Linked DNA regions of Solanum lycopersicum. The main gene of each other region encodes a partner of the protein of the gene in region 3 in a complex. Links are inferred from orthologs where the notes say so. Each region holds a gene or a part of one and is shown on either strand. Other genes may lie near its edges.

What was found. The genes of interacting proteins can lie anywhere in the genome.
Region 1: the proteins of probable inactive ATP-dependent zinc metalloprotease FTSHI 4, chloroplastic (region 3) and uncharacterized protein are in contact, whole or in part, in a cryo-EM structure (PDB 8XKV), measured with the Arabidopsis thaliana proteins. The link is inferred for Solanum lycopersicum from reciprocal best matches to the Arabidopsis thaliana genes EMB3144 and emb2737. Residues at the interface, in NP_201263.2 of Arabidopsis thaliana: Asn149, Phe150, Ser151, Met154, Tyr170, Gly171, Gln172, Arg206, Met207, Pro208, Ile209, Asp210, Gly211, Asn213, Asp214, Asp232, Val233, Val234, Glu237, Thr240, Thr241, Thr244, Phe245, Trp248, Leu252, Phe255, Val256, Tyr259, Asp263, Thr266; in NP_001032071.1 of Arabidopsis thaliana: Pro63, Glu64, Ser67, Ser70, Tyr71, Ser73, Val74, Val77, Ala78, Leu80, Gly81, Asp84, Ile85, Asp88, Lys92, Cys102, Asn103, Trp105, Gln106, Ala107, Leu108, Arg109, Lys114, Gly115, Thr116, Gly117, Gly173, Thr174, Gly175, Ala176.
Region 2: the proteins of probable inactive ATP-dependent zinc metalloprotease FTSHI 4, chloroplastic (region 3) and ATP-dependent zinc metalloprotease FTSH 12, chloroplastic are in contact, whole or in part, in a cryo-EM structure (PDB 8XKU), measured with the Arabidopsis thaliana proteins. The link is inferred for Solanum lycopersicum from reciprocal best matches to the Arabidopsis thaliana genes EMB3144 and FTSH12. Residues at the interface, in NP_201263.2 of Arabidopsis thaliana: Lys91, Leu92, Arg93, Glu94, Glu96, Arg97, Leu100, Met103, Glu104, Val112, Glu115, Arg116, Val119, Met120, Asp123, Arg126, Tyr167, Tyr170, Asn213, Trp216, Lys217, His220, Val224, Asn225, Val226, Glu227, Val228, Asn230, Val231, Val234; in NP_565212.1 of Arabidopsis thaliana: Leu255, Ile258, Ile259, Asn262, Arg264, Ile265, Gln266, Lys270, Leu273, Leu277, Val279, Lys359, Leu360, Pro361, Tyr362, Thr363, Tyr364, Leu366, Lys368, Glu373, Asp382, Lys384, Arg385, Met390, Glu392, Tyr398, Asp401, Ile402, Pro403, Leu404.

The regions. Positions count from the first base shown.
Region 1 is NC_090811.1:5,248,354-5,251,924, reverse strand, and holds part of uncharacterized protein, read right to left. Parts: intron 2,282-3,571; coding exon 2,210-2,281; intron 2,134-2,209; coding exon 1,996-2,133; intron 1,652-1,995; coding exon 1,496-1,651; intron 44-1,495; coding exon 1-43.
Region 2 is NC_090801.1:59,816,144-59,819,394, reverse strand, and holds the end of ATP-dependent zinc metalloprotease FTSH 12, chloroplastic, read right to left. Parts: intron 1,399-3,251; coding exon 1,318-1,398; intron 967-1,317; coding exon 889-966; 3' UTR 551-888; downstream 1-550. UniProt on the Arabidopsis thaliana protein: Probable ATP-dependent zinc metallopeptidase.
Region 3 is NC_090803.1:56,950,336-56,953,906, reverse strand, and holds part of probable inactive ATP-dependent zinc metalloprotease FTSHI 4, chloroplastic, read right to left. Parts: intron 353-3,571; coding exon 94-352; intron 1-93. UniProt on the Arabidopsis thaliana protein: Functions in chloroplast biogenesis and chloroplast division. Required for plastid development during embryogenesis. Might be involved in chaperone functions or play a structural role in the thylakoid FtsH complex.

The DNA of each region.
Region 1 (3,571 bases), on a different chromosome or scaffold from region 3:
TCTGAATGTATGGTCGTACCTTCTCCTCCAACATTTTGTTAAGCTGAGATATGAACAAAAAATAACAGAGAAGAGAACATATCAGCAACTAATATCAGTAATATAGATGTTTATTTGTCCGACAAAAAGATATCGGGAAAATATGAGATAATTGTTAGTTCAATCAAATTGTAGACACCAGCTACACACAAAAAATATGAATCAAGATACATGTTTCAGATGCCAGAGAAGGTACCCGTACCACACATACAGTATTGTCAGTCATCTGCATTCCAGAGATAGAACTTTAAGGGGTTGTTTGGTAGAATGTATTAGCAAAAGTAATGTATGTATTAACTCTGTGTATTAGTAATATCTTGTTTGGTATATTTTTTCATGCTATGTATAACTAATGTACACTCTATTGTACATTAAGATGTGTATTACTAATACCATGGATTTCTAGATATTAGTAATGCAAGGGGTTTTAATGCATGCATTAGCATAGTTAAAGACTTATTGCCCCTGAAAATCTTTTTTACATCTTTTTGAACATAATTGTGAAGGGTTTCTTTAGTCAGTAAATATTTTTATGCAATGCATGCTATTTTTAATACACCAAAGCAAATAAAGCATAAGAAATCTATGTATAATTAATGCAAACATTACTAAGCATTATCAATGCACCTCTTGAAGACTCATGTCTAGAACACGCTTAAAATCATTTTCACGAAGTTCAAGAATGTACATATTACAGGTAATAAATTTGAAGGAGATAGTCAAGACTTTTGCTTGAATATCATTTAGTTAAGGTGCCACTTCATAATACTTCGCGCTACAAGTTGTATTGGACTTTGCCACACACTTTAAACTTTTGAATACTTTTTTAGAAGAGTAAGCTACTAAGAGACTTCTTCTCTACATTCAGCAAGAAACAAATTGAATAGGAGAAATATTACATTCCTGGAGATAAAGTCATTCAATCTGAGGCAAAGAAAATAGGAGTATTGATTATCAGGAAAATTCTTAACCAGTTCAAACTTGAAAGCACAAACTAGCAGGCACAAGAAAGAAAAATTGTACTTCAGTGAAGTCACTATGTAATACTTTACAAAGCAAGCAAAATACCAAAACAGAGAGAGGGTAAAAGAAATTCAGAAGCGGCATACATTTATGGATCTTTGAATTATTATTATGAAACTGGAGCCATACATCTAATTTGTTTGTTGTTGTTTTTTCGCGCTTCTGTGATTGAACAAGAACATCAAATTCTATCCTAGCAGTTTAATCAGTAAAATCATGAGGGAAACTAAAGTGTCCATGTTTAAGGGAAAAGGTCAAATTTGTCCAGATGAACAGGGTTAAAAAATAATCAGAAACCCATACGACATTTTTTTCCCTCTTCGTATCTAGACAAACAGCAACTAAGCCTTAGTCTTAAACAAGTTGGGGTTGGTTAGAAATTCTCAATACTCTCTACTGACATTTCAGGAAAAGAAATCTCTGATAGACCAACCTTTTCTTCTCTCCATTTCGCTTCCCACTGGGCATCCAGCATCTTTTCAGAAATTTCTCTCTGTGCATTAAGAAGAACTGTCATCTCATAGAGCTTTTTTGGGTCTTTGAGGTCCTTTTCACTCCAAGAAGATGCGTTTAATGGAAGGTTCAACTCCTGCAAATGGTTGTATTACCCCGTATGAATATAAGGAAAATAACAATAACAATAGAAGAGCAAGAGAGAACTTCCTGACAAATCAACAGCATGCTGACCTTCCAAATTAATCACTTGAACTTAAGATGCGGAGGAAATTTTAATACACACTTAAGACAGCCGATAGAAGCAGAACTTTCCCGTCTTTTTTAGCTTTTCTAAGGGGACTTTGTCGGAAAAACAAGTTATCTAATGTACAATGGTTATTCACAATAACTCCAAGATAAACCATACAGAAAATAGCGGGCATTTAAACAAGAATGTAACTAGAAATAGTAAGAAATTCTAGTAAAGATAAAACATACCCCCCAATTTTGAGGACGCGGCGGAGGGTCAAGCTTCATGACTTCTGCCTCCAGAGTTTTCTTGGCCTTGAAGTAAGGAACGTTTTTCACAATAATAGGATCTTCTCTTGCTCGGGCAGGATCAATAGAGACCAAGGCCTGTAAGATAATTTAGTCAAGAAAGTTGATCGGGATATTACTCAGACATATTTACCACAAAAAAAAAATGTCATACTTCTTGCAAATACTCCCATCCAGGTTTTCTCTTGGCCACCACATCTCGAAGTTGATCATATCGCATAGATTCCTGGAATGCAAACACGACTACATAAGCTGTCAGCAAAATCTGGCTTCCAAGTGTTCTAGACTTCCAGACTATGAAACCCTCAAATAGGTAAAAGATGAAATAAAATAAGGCAATCAATTTCATCTGTCATTTTTCATAAAAGCAGATGCCGATGAATTTAGTTTGAATCTATTGGATCTATATGTTGTCTTTTATCAATATATTTTACGTGTGAAAATGTTAATTTTGCAACAAGAAGACAACTTCAGAACTTCATTATAATCATAGATGAAAACTCAAAAGTCATCTCTTCAATGAGTTTAACAGTCGAAATGGCTTTTCTCTGAACGTCACAGCCAATTGTACAAGGCTTGTATTGTGAGATTCCGCAATAGCTAAAAGAACTTTGATTATGCAGATTGAAGGGAATTGTGGTACATAAATCCTTAAAAGGAGGGAAGAGGATGAGAAAAACAACAGAGACATCAATAAAAGACCTGTTACTTGACATCGAGTGGCGGATGTTTGTAGATAAAGCTGAATAAAGCAAATGGGTTCCTGACTTCCTGTATCCGAACCCAGCAATAGGATAAGGCTTACTGGGACTTAGGTTGAAACTCTACCACAGTTAATCTTTGCATAAGAATTTCGAGATAAAATAATCATCTGAATAGAACATATATGATTATGAAGCATGAACTTCTTTTACCATTGACAGGGCCATGAACTATAACAAAGAGTCAAAAATGTAAAAATAATTTTTTATCTACATTTTCCATTACACTGGAAGCTCTTTTTCTTTCACAGGGATTCAAAAAGTTATATGCATACAGAAAATTGCTTTTATCCTATTGCAAAGATTAATTTTTGGATGAAGGGGATTCAATTGAATTCCCTTCTTTACACGTGGCTCAGCCGCTGTTCCTTGCCAATATATCATTGTTCAATTTTTACCAGAGTGAACTTAGATGAAGCATGTTTACACAGAAAGAAAAAGAATATGAAGCATTTTGAAATCAAACAGCACAAAATTGAACTCCCGCCATTCCAATTTTTGTGGCAATTTGAATAGGAATGGACTTTAAGAAAGGAAGATTTTTGAGACTGATGATCATAACCATGTCTCAAAATTTAAGATTTGTGTGGCTTTAAGGCTTTAGAAGCCTGTGGTTTTAAAAATTCCATAACATGTGTGGCTATAAAATCTTCTCATTAAAGGTACATTGGAAGTACTTCTTCAATCATTTCCTAATTTAGAAAGTTGTCATTCTTAAAGGAACAAACTAAAAGGGAAAGGTTGCCAAAGAAACT
Region 2 (3,251 bases), on a different chromosome or scaffold from region 3:
TGATCTATAATTTTTATTCTTAGAAATCAAATTTACGCAGAACAGAAATTTGTTTTTTTAAAGACACAAATATAACTTGTAAGATATTATTATAGAAACAAATGTACTTATGTTCCTCATGGGATACAATCCCGACCTCATATGTTGGGTTATATGATGTGTGCGTAGTTGAGCGTTATCAATGGATCTTAATATTTTCTTACCAAACATTAATATTGCTTGATTATTATTTCTATTTATAAATATGTCTTCATTTGATGGGTTCACTATTCGATAGTTATTTGTAGTGTATTTTAAGAAAGTTTTGAAAGGCGTACAAATGCCCTGAAATTACATGTGGGACTTAAATTCTATGCATGTGGCTCACCTAGCCGATTTTACACAAAGTTGTGTCAAATTCGTTAGTTAAGCTTTGTTGACTCTCATATGTGCTTAATAGTTTGTTTTTTTTTTCTTTTTACCTATAGATATAAGAATATTGAGAATAACTCAAACAAGTCATAGTATTGTACATTTACTACTCCATTTGAGAACATCGAGAGGATGAATATATACTTAACATTAACTTATATAAATAGCCAAATTTTACATTTTCGATTCTCATTGGTCTTTCTTGTACAAAGTTGCTCTATTTAAACCATGAAATAAATTAAGGGAAAAGAAAAGAGAGCAAAAGAAGGAAAGAAGAAACAAAAATGTGCCTAAATAATAAAAAATGGAACATTTGCAACCCAACCTTACTATCTACTAAGCAGCCTTTCTGTTGGTTTGCAAAGGTTTTGGTCAGAGTTGATGTGAAAAAGGACATTGTCTCTAAACCTCAACATTCACTACTAGGCAACTTCCGATGTCGGTCTGACCAGAAAACTCAAACAACCACCATTGATGTTAACTTCTGTGGAGGGGCGCAGGATAAATGTCCAGCGGTTGATAACTCAAACGGTCATTATGAGGCAATGGTCCTTCCTGAGAATTTAAAACATTTTTATAGGCACAGTACAATTGAGAAAATCAAAATCTGCATGAGATTGCGAGCTAAAAATATTCACAAGGAAGAAGGTTGCCCCTGACTCAGATCATTAAGCAAAAGCACGCGACAAGCCTCGTACAATCTACTTTGAGAGCCCCATCCCCGTCATGCAAAGCAACAGGATGTTTAAAACAAAAATAACAGCAGACATATTACTGGGTTGCATTGTACACATTCTATATTATCCCTATTCTCACGTTTCTAAAGAGAATGGTATTGTTATAAAGACTTCACATTATCTCTTGAAAGTAAATATGAAGATTGAGAATCTGAAAATATTATATTACCTCCTCCATGTTTATTTGGAAAGGCTTCACAAAATCTTCGAACATGGCAGGCTGTAACCCTCTCATTTTGTCTTCTACTTCCTGAAGAAGCAACAGAGGGTGTCAACAGAAATAAGGATGCAAACAAAAGATGTAGACAAGCTAAACAAACTGGGAGTACACTTGGAGATTTTGATGAAAATTATCAGGTATTCTCTGTTCTAAAAAAACCTATAAGTATAGGTTACGGGTGGCAAAATGGTTAAATTTTTACCATTCCAGGCAGTATTGCCCAAATAAAGCTGCCAGAGGATAAGAGTTAAAATGTTCAATGTTTTGCTTGGAAAAACTACCAGTTTCCTGAATCTTGGTAATGTGGAAACAAATTGAAATATGCATTTGAAACAGTTTATCAAGGCTTAAACTAATTGATATTAGCTCATCAAAAGGTGGTTATCCACTCTAAACATCTGTGGAGGTACCAAGTGATAATTAAACGAAGTCTGCAAGTCATTTTAAATCTCCTGTTCAAGTTTCAAATTTATTATCAATCTTGAATTTATCACTGTCTGACAGCTTGAGGAGCGACAATGAAGAATGTTAATTGGCATGTATGTTTCAGTATCAGTACTACAATGAGCTCCTTTCTATGTTGCTCGGACTCTTCAAAAATGCGAATAGGTGCGTGTCAAATTCGCCAAAAGTAGTGTATTTTTGAAGAATCCGAGATGGGTGCGGCATCAACAATGAAGAGTTCGCTCAACTAAGGCTCCTTTTGTGTCATAGCATCCTCTTTTTCTAACTATCAAGAAGATCCTCTCTAGTATTTGTCAATGCTCTGGCACTTGACAGCTTCCTACATATAGCAAGATATAAAGGAACCATTTCGTTTGACGTTCCAAGTAAATCCTTCTGAACCAAATTAAGTCCATGAGCCCTTGAAAGTTTGGTTAAAAGTGGCATTTGGTGTATACACATATCTCTTATTTGATTCTGTCGTGAATGATAGGTATTACATAGGTTCTTCTCTCTGCTAGTTCAATTATAACTAACCTGTGTAGCTCATATACTGCTCCACTACGCATTCTTTTCAAGAAATTCTATGTGAGATTCCCTTTGTAAAAATGAACATACAAATAGTTTATAATAGGTTTTTTTTCAGTAAATATGGTTTACATTAGGGAATTGGGGAGTTTCTAAGCCTGACAATACTCTAAGGGGTCGTTTGATAGAGTGTATTAGAGAAAATAATGCATGCATTAGTTTGATGTATTAGTAGTACTTTGTTTGGTACACTTTTCTAGCCAATGCATAACTAATGCTTGTGTTAGTAATACACTCTATTGTGTATTAAAGAGTGTATTACTAATGCCATCTATTTCTATGCATTAGTAATGCAATGGGTTCTAATGCATGCATTAACATTATAAAAGACACAATTGGCCTTAAAAACTTTTTTTATCCTTTCCACCATATTTAAGGAGGGTATTTTTTAAACAATTTTTTTTTTCTAAAAATATTATGCAATGCATTATATTTAAAACTTGCATTAAATTAATAATTACAAAACTACCCTCAAAGCCTTTTTGAAACATTTCCCAACATTTTCTTTTCTTTTAATTTCTTTGTTATGTGTTTTCATTTTCATCTATTTTTCTGTCTTTTAATTTGTTGGTGTTTTAATAGACTTTATGGCCTCTTAGATATATTTTTTGTAAAAAAATAATAATCTAATTTCAACATAATTTAATAAGAAAAATTACTATTGTGGCGATAAATTTGATAAAAGAAATTCTTTTCCAACTTTTCACAAAAATATTATGACTCAATAGTACAACTATTTAATATTATTTTTGAAAAAGAAGAAGAAGAAGAAGAGGAGGAGTTAATGATGTTTTAGCAAATGACTTTGTTGCAGCTTGCAAGAAAGTGTATAAATAAATAAAGTGTGAAGG
Region 3 (3,571 bases):
AAAGAATAGTCAATTAAAGAAACTTTAATAATCTTGCAGCTGTTAGAATTTACTCTTCCATGTAAGTGTGTCGGAATTGCAAGTACTTCTCACCTCAACAAAATCAGTACCGTTAGCAGCAAAAAAAGGTAATCCTGCTTCTCCAGCTATAGCTTTTGCCAGAAGTGTTTTGCCAGTTCCAGGAGGACCATGAAGAAGCACACCTTTTGGGCAATAAATCCCTTTGTCTTGAAACTCTTCTTCATTCCTCAATATTCGAACTATCTCTTGAAGTTCTCTCTTAATATATTCTTGGCCAGCAAAATCATCAAAAGTTATACCAGTCTTTTCTTCTGCTGATATGAATTTTGCACTGATGGCAGATGGTAAAAAGAAAATTAGATACGTACAGTGTTTTTTTTAATTTAAGAAGATATTATTGATGTTTGGGAGAAAGAAACGACCATACACAAGAGATAAGCCAAAAAGTAGAAAATCTGCAAAAACAAATGTTTTTTATACCAAAGGCATCCAATCTTCTATACCTAAGGGGATCTCATGGATGCACCAAAAAGCAATATGGGATGAGGGCTAGTCCTCAACTAAACTAAATTTATCACCATCCCTTCAAAAGCTCTCCTATTTCTTTCTCTCCACACAATCCACTAAGTGCTACATTCCAAACCCTATGTCTTTTCCTCCGTCTGCCACAATGACAGCTGGTCAACATTGCTTTCAAAGCGCCCGGCATCACCCATTGTACTCCAAACCATGCCAGAGTTTCCCACCATAATCTCGAGAGTCGAGAATGACCAGCAATAAAGAAGAAGATTATTAATGTGCCCAGGCCCTTGCACATAAACCACCAACTGACATAAGAGAGTTTTCTCTTCCTTACATTCTAGGTGTCATGATTACCCCCCCTAGCCACTAACCAAGTGAAAGAAAAATATACATCTCTTGGAATCACAGAAATCCAAATCGAATCATAAGGATAGTCAATCTCCTTCCTGGTCAACATCTTCTCTTTTTTTAACAAGGTGAATTTTATTAGTATTTCGGGGAACAATATATACAAGCCATACACCAAAAAAGAGAACCTCCACCAAATAATGGTTCTCAAATAATGGTTCTCAACAGAAGAGATCCAATCCTCTATACAAATTGGGACCTCGCAAGTACACCAAAAAGAAACTAGGGACAAAACACTACTCTTCATTTTTACAATATCAAGTTCCACACCTTCAGAAGCCCTCATATTCCTCTCTTTCCAAATGACCCACGTGATTGATAAGGGGGCAATGCACCGCCAAAAATACAAATAAACAAGCCGCCTTAGTGCTCTAGGATCAAATGGAGTCTTGGAGGTAAATACCTACCTCTCTCACTAGCAACTTCTTGTAAAAAGAGCAAACGGTGAATAAGCCATCACCACTCTCTTGCAACCTACATACATCCATTAAGTTGTTTGGTGTGCCTAGGCTATACAAAAGCTGAATCAATTGTGAAATTCTTCCATCTCACAATGATTTAGGTTGCTTTTGAATCTTAAGTCATGGTGGATAACACCCATCCACTCATGAGACCTACAAATTTGTTGGATTGTCATCTCTCGCTGGCTAGATTCACGATATAAATTAGGTAAGGCTTCCTTCAACTCGATCTCCTTACACCACTTATGTGTCCTCAACTAAACCTACTTCCGTCCCCAACCTTGAAAGAGATATGTCCACAAAAATGTTTTCACCCCTTCATGATACTCCTCCACAAACCATACCTAAATAAAGTTACAATGTTTTTTATACTCGATCCACCATCCATTATGCCATATTTATCCACCACCACCCTCCAAAGAGCAGTCTCCTCCATCCCGAATGTCCATATCCACTTCCCTAACAAAGCTTTATTGTACATCCTGAAATCTTTCACTCCAGCCCTCCCCATTTCTTTGGAGATGCTAGCAAGACAAGACTTCAGACCCGTTCCACCACCTATTTGCTATATCCACATAATCTAGTTCTCTGAGCTACATGTTCTTGAATCTAAACGAAATGCGCAAACTGCTCCTTCTACTCCCATCTAGCAAGATAGGCGTATGATCCAAGGTCAATCTAGGTAATGGGACTTGCAACACATTTGGGACCAACTCCACTCAATCAGTGGATACCAAGAATCTAACAAATCTAGATTTTGATGTGGAATCACCTGCTCTGGCCCAAGTAAATTTGTCCTGTCAAAGGAAGATCAAGAAGATATTGGTTATCAACAAACTCTAAAGACTCCTCCATCGCCCTAAAAATCACCCTTGCAATCCACTCTCCAGTCATGAAATCTTACAGTGTTAAAATCCCCTCCTAACACCCAAGGGACCTCCCACCCTATCATCATAGTGGATATCTCTTCCCACAAACTCTCTTTCCCTCACCAGACTGTACACCCTCCTTTCCCCGAGGCCTAATTCCTCATCACTTCCAAAGATTTTACCAGCAATGCGACCATAAACTCCCCCTTGCTTACCTCCATCATGTCTAATTTCTGTCATCCCCAAAAACTTTGATACCCATGCATTCCCTAAAGTCGAAACCCAATCATATTTGCCCATCCACCACCCAAATCAAGACTTCTCACCACCGCATTTGTCACCACCTCCATTTTAGTCTCTTAGAGGCACAATAGTCCAACCCCCAAACCCCACCCCAACTCTCTACTCCCATTTTAGTAATAGCTCTCTTATAAGGGTCACTCATTCCCCCTTCACATTCTAAGAAATAATTTTTACTTCCGTAATCAACAACTTTACCCTCACACAAATCCTCCCATCTCATGTACCCCCACTCTAACTCCTACTCCTACATCTCCTCTTGAACACCAGTAGGTTAGAATTTACCCTAACCAGCAATCCTCCAATCTCCTATACCCCAACTCTTACTCCTACTCCTACCTCTCCTCTTGTACTCCAGCAAGTTACCTTCTCCCTTTTATCCTTCCGCATACTCTTTCCCTTACCCACCCTCATGTCAACAATCTCCTTTTCTCTAACCCCTCTTGCCTCTTGTTCAATGCCTCGAGGGAGTTCTAACACCCTACCCTCCTTCCCTTCAAAGAACACTCCCAAAAATTCCGCGAACATCAAGTATTTCTCTCCCTCCCTACTAATCAAGCTTCTACCTTCCTCAGAACATGCTAATGGCAACATATCATCCTCCTAAACATCATAACATCCATATTTAGTACCCAAAAACAGTTAACAGTTAACAAAAACATGACTAGCAGCCCTTTCTCCTTAGAAGAAGAAAAATGGAGTTGGAACCAGTAAAACAGGTTCAAAATTCCGGATCTGAGATTTTCCAGCCGGACCCAAGACAATTTCCGGCTCCGGCGAGGTCGCCGGAGGTGAACCAACCCTAAAACCACTTCCATCCCGGGTTGCCCACCAACCTAGAGTGGTCATCACCCTTTCGAAAAGTCGGACGAGTTCCCTTCAGCCTATGATTTACATAAACCAGCTTGCTGAAACTGGGATTCCGTCACCTGGCCTTGCGAGAACTCCAGATCTAACAATCTGCCGGCCCCCTGCTGCATGGCTGCTTCT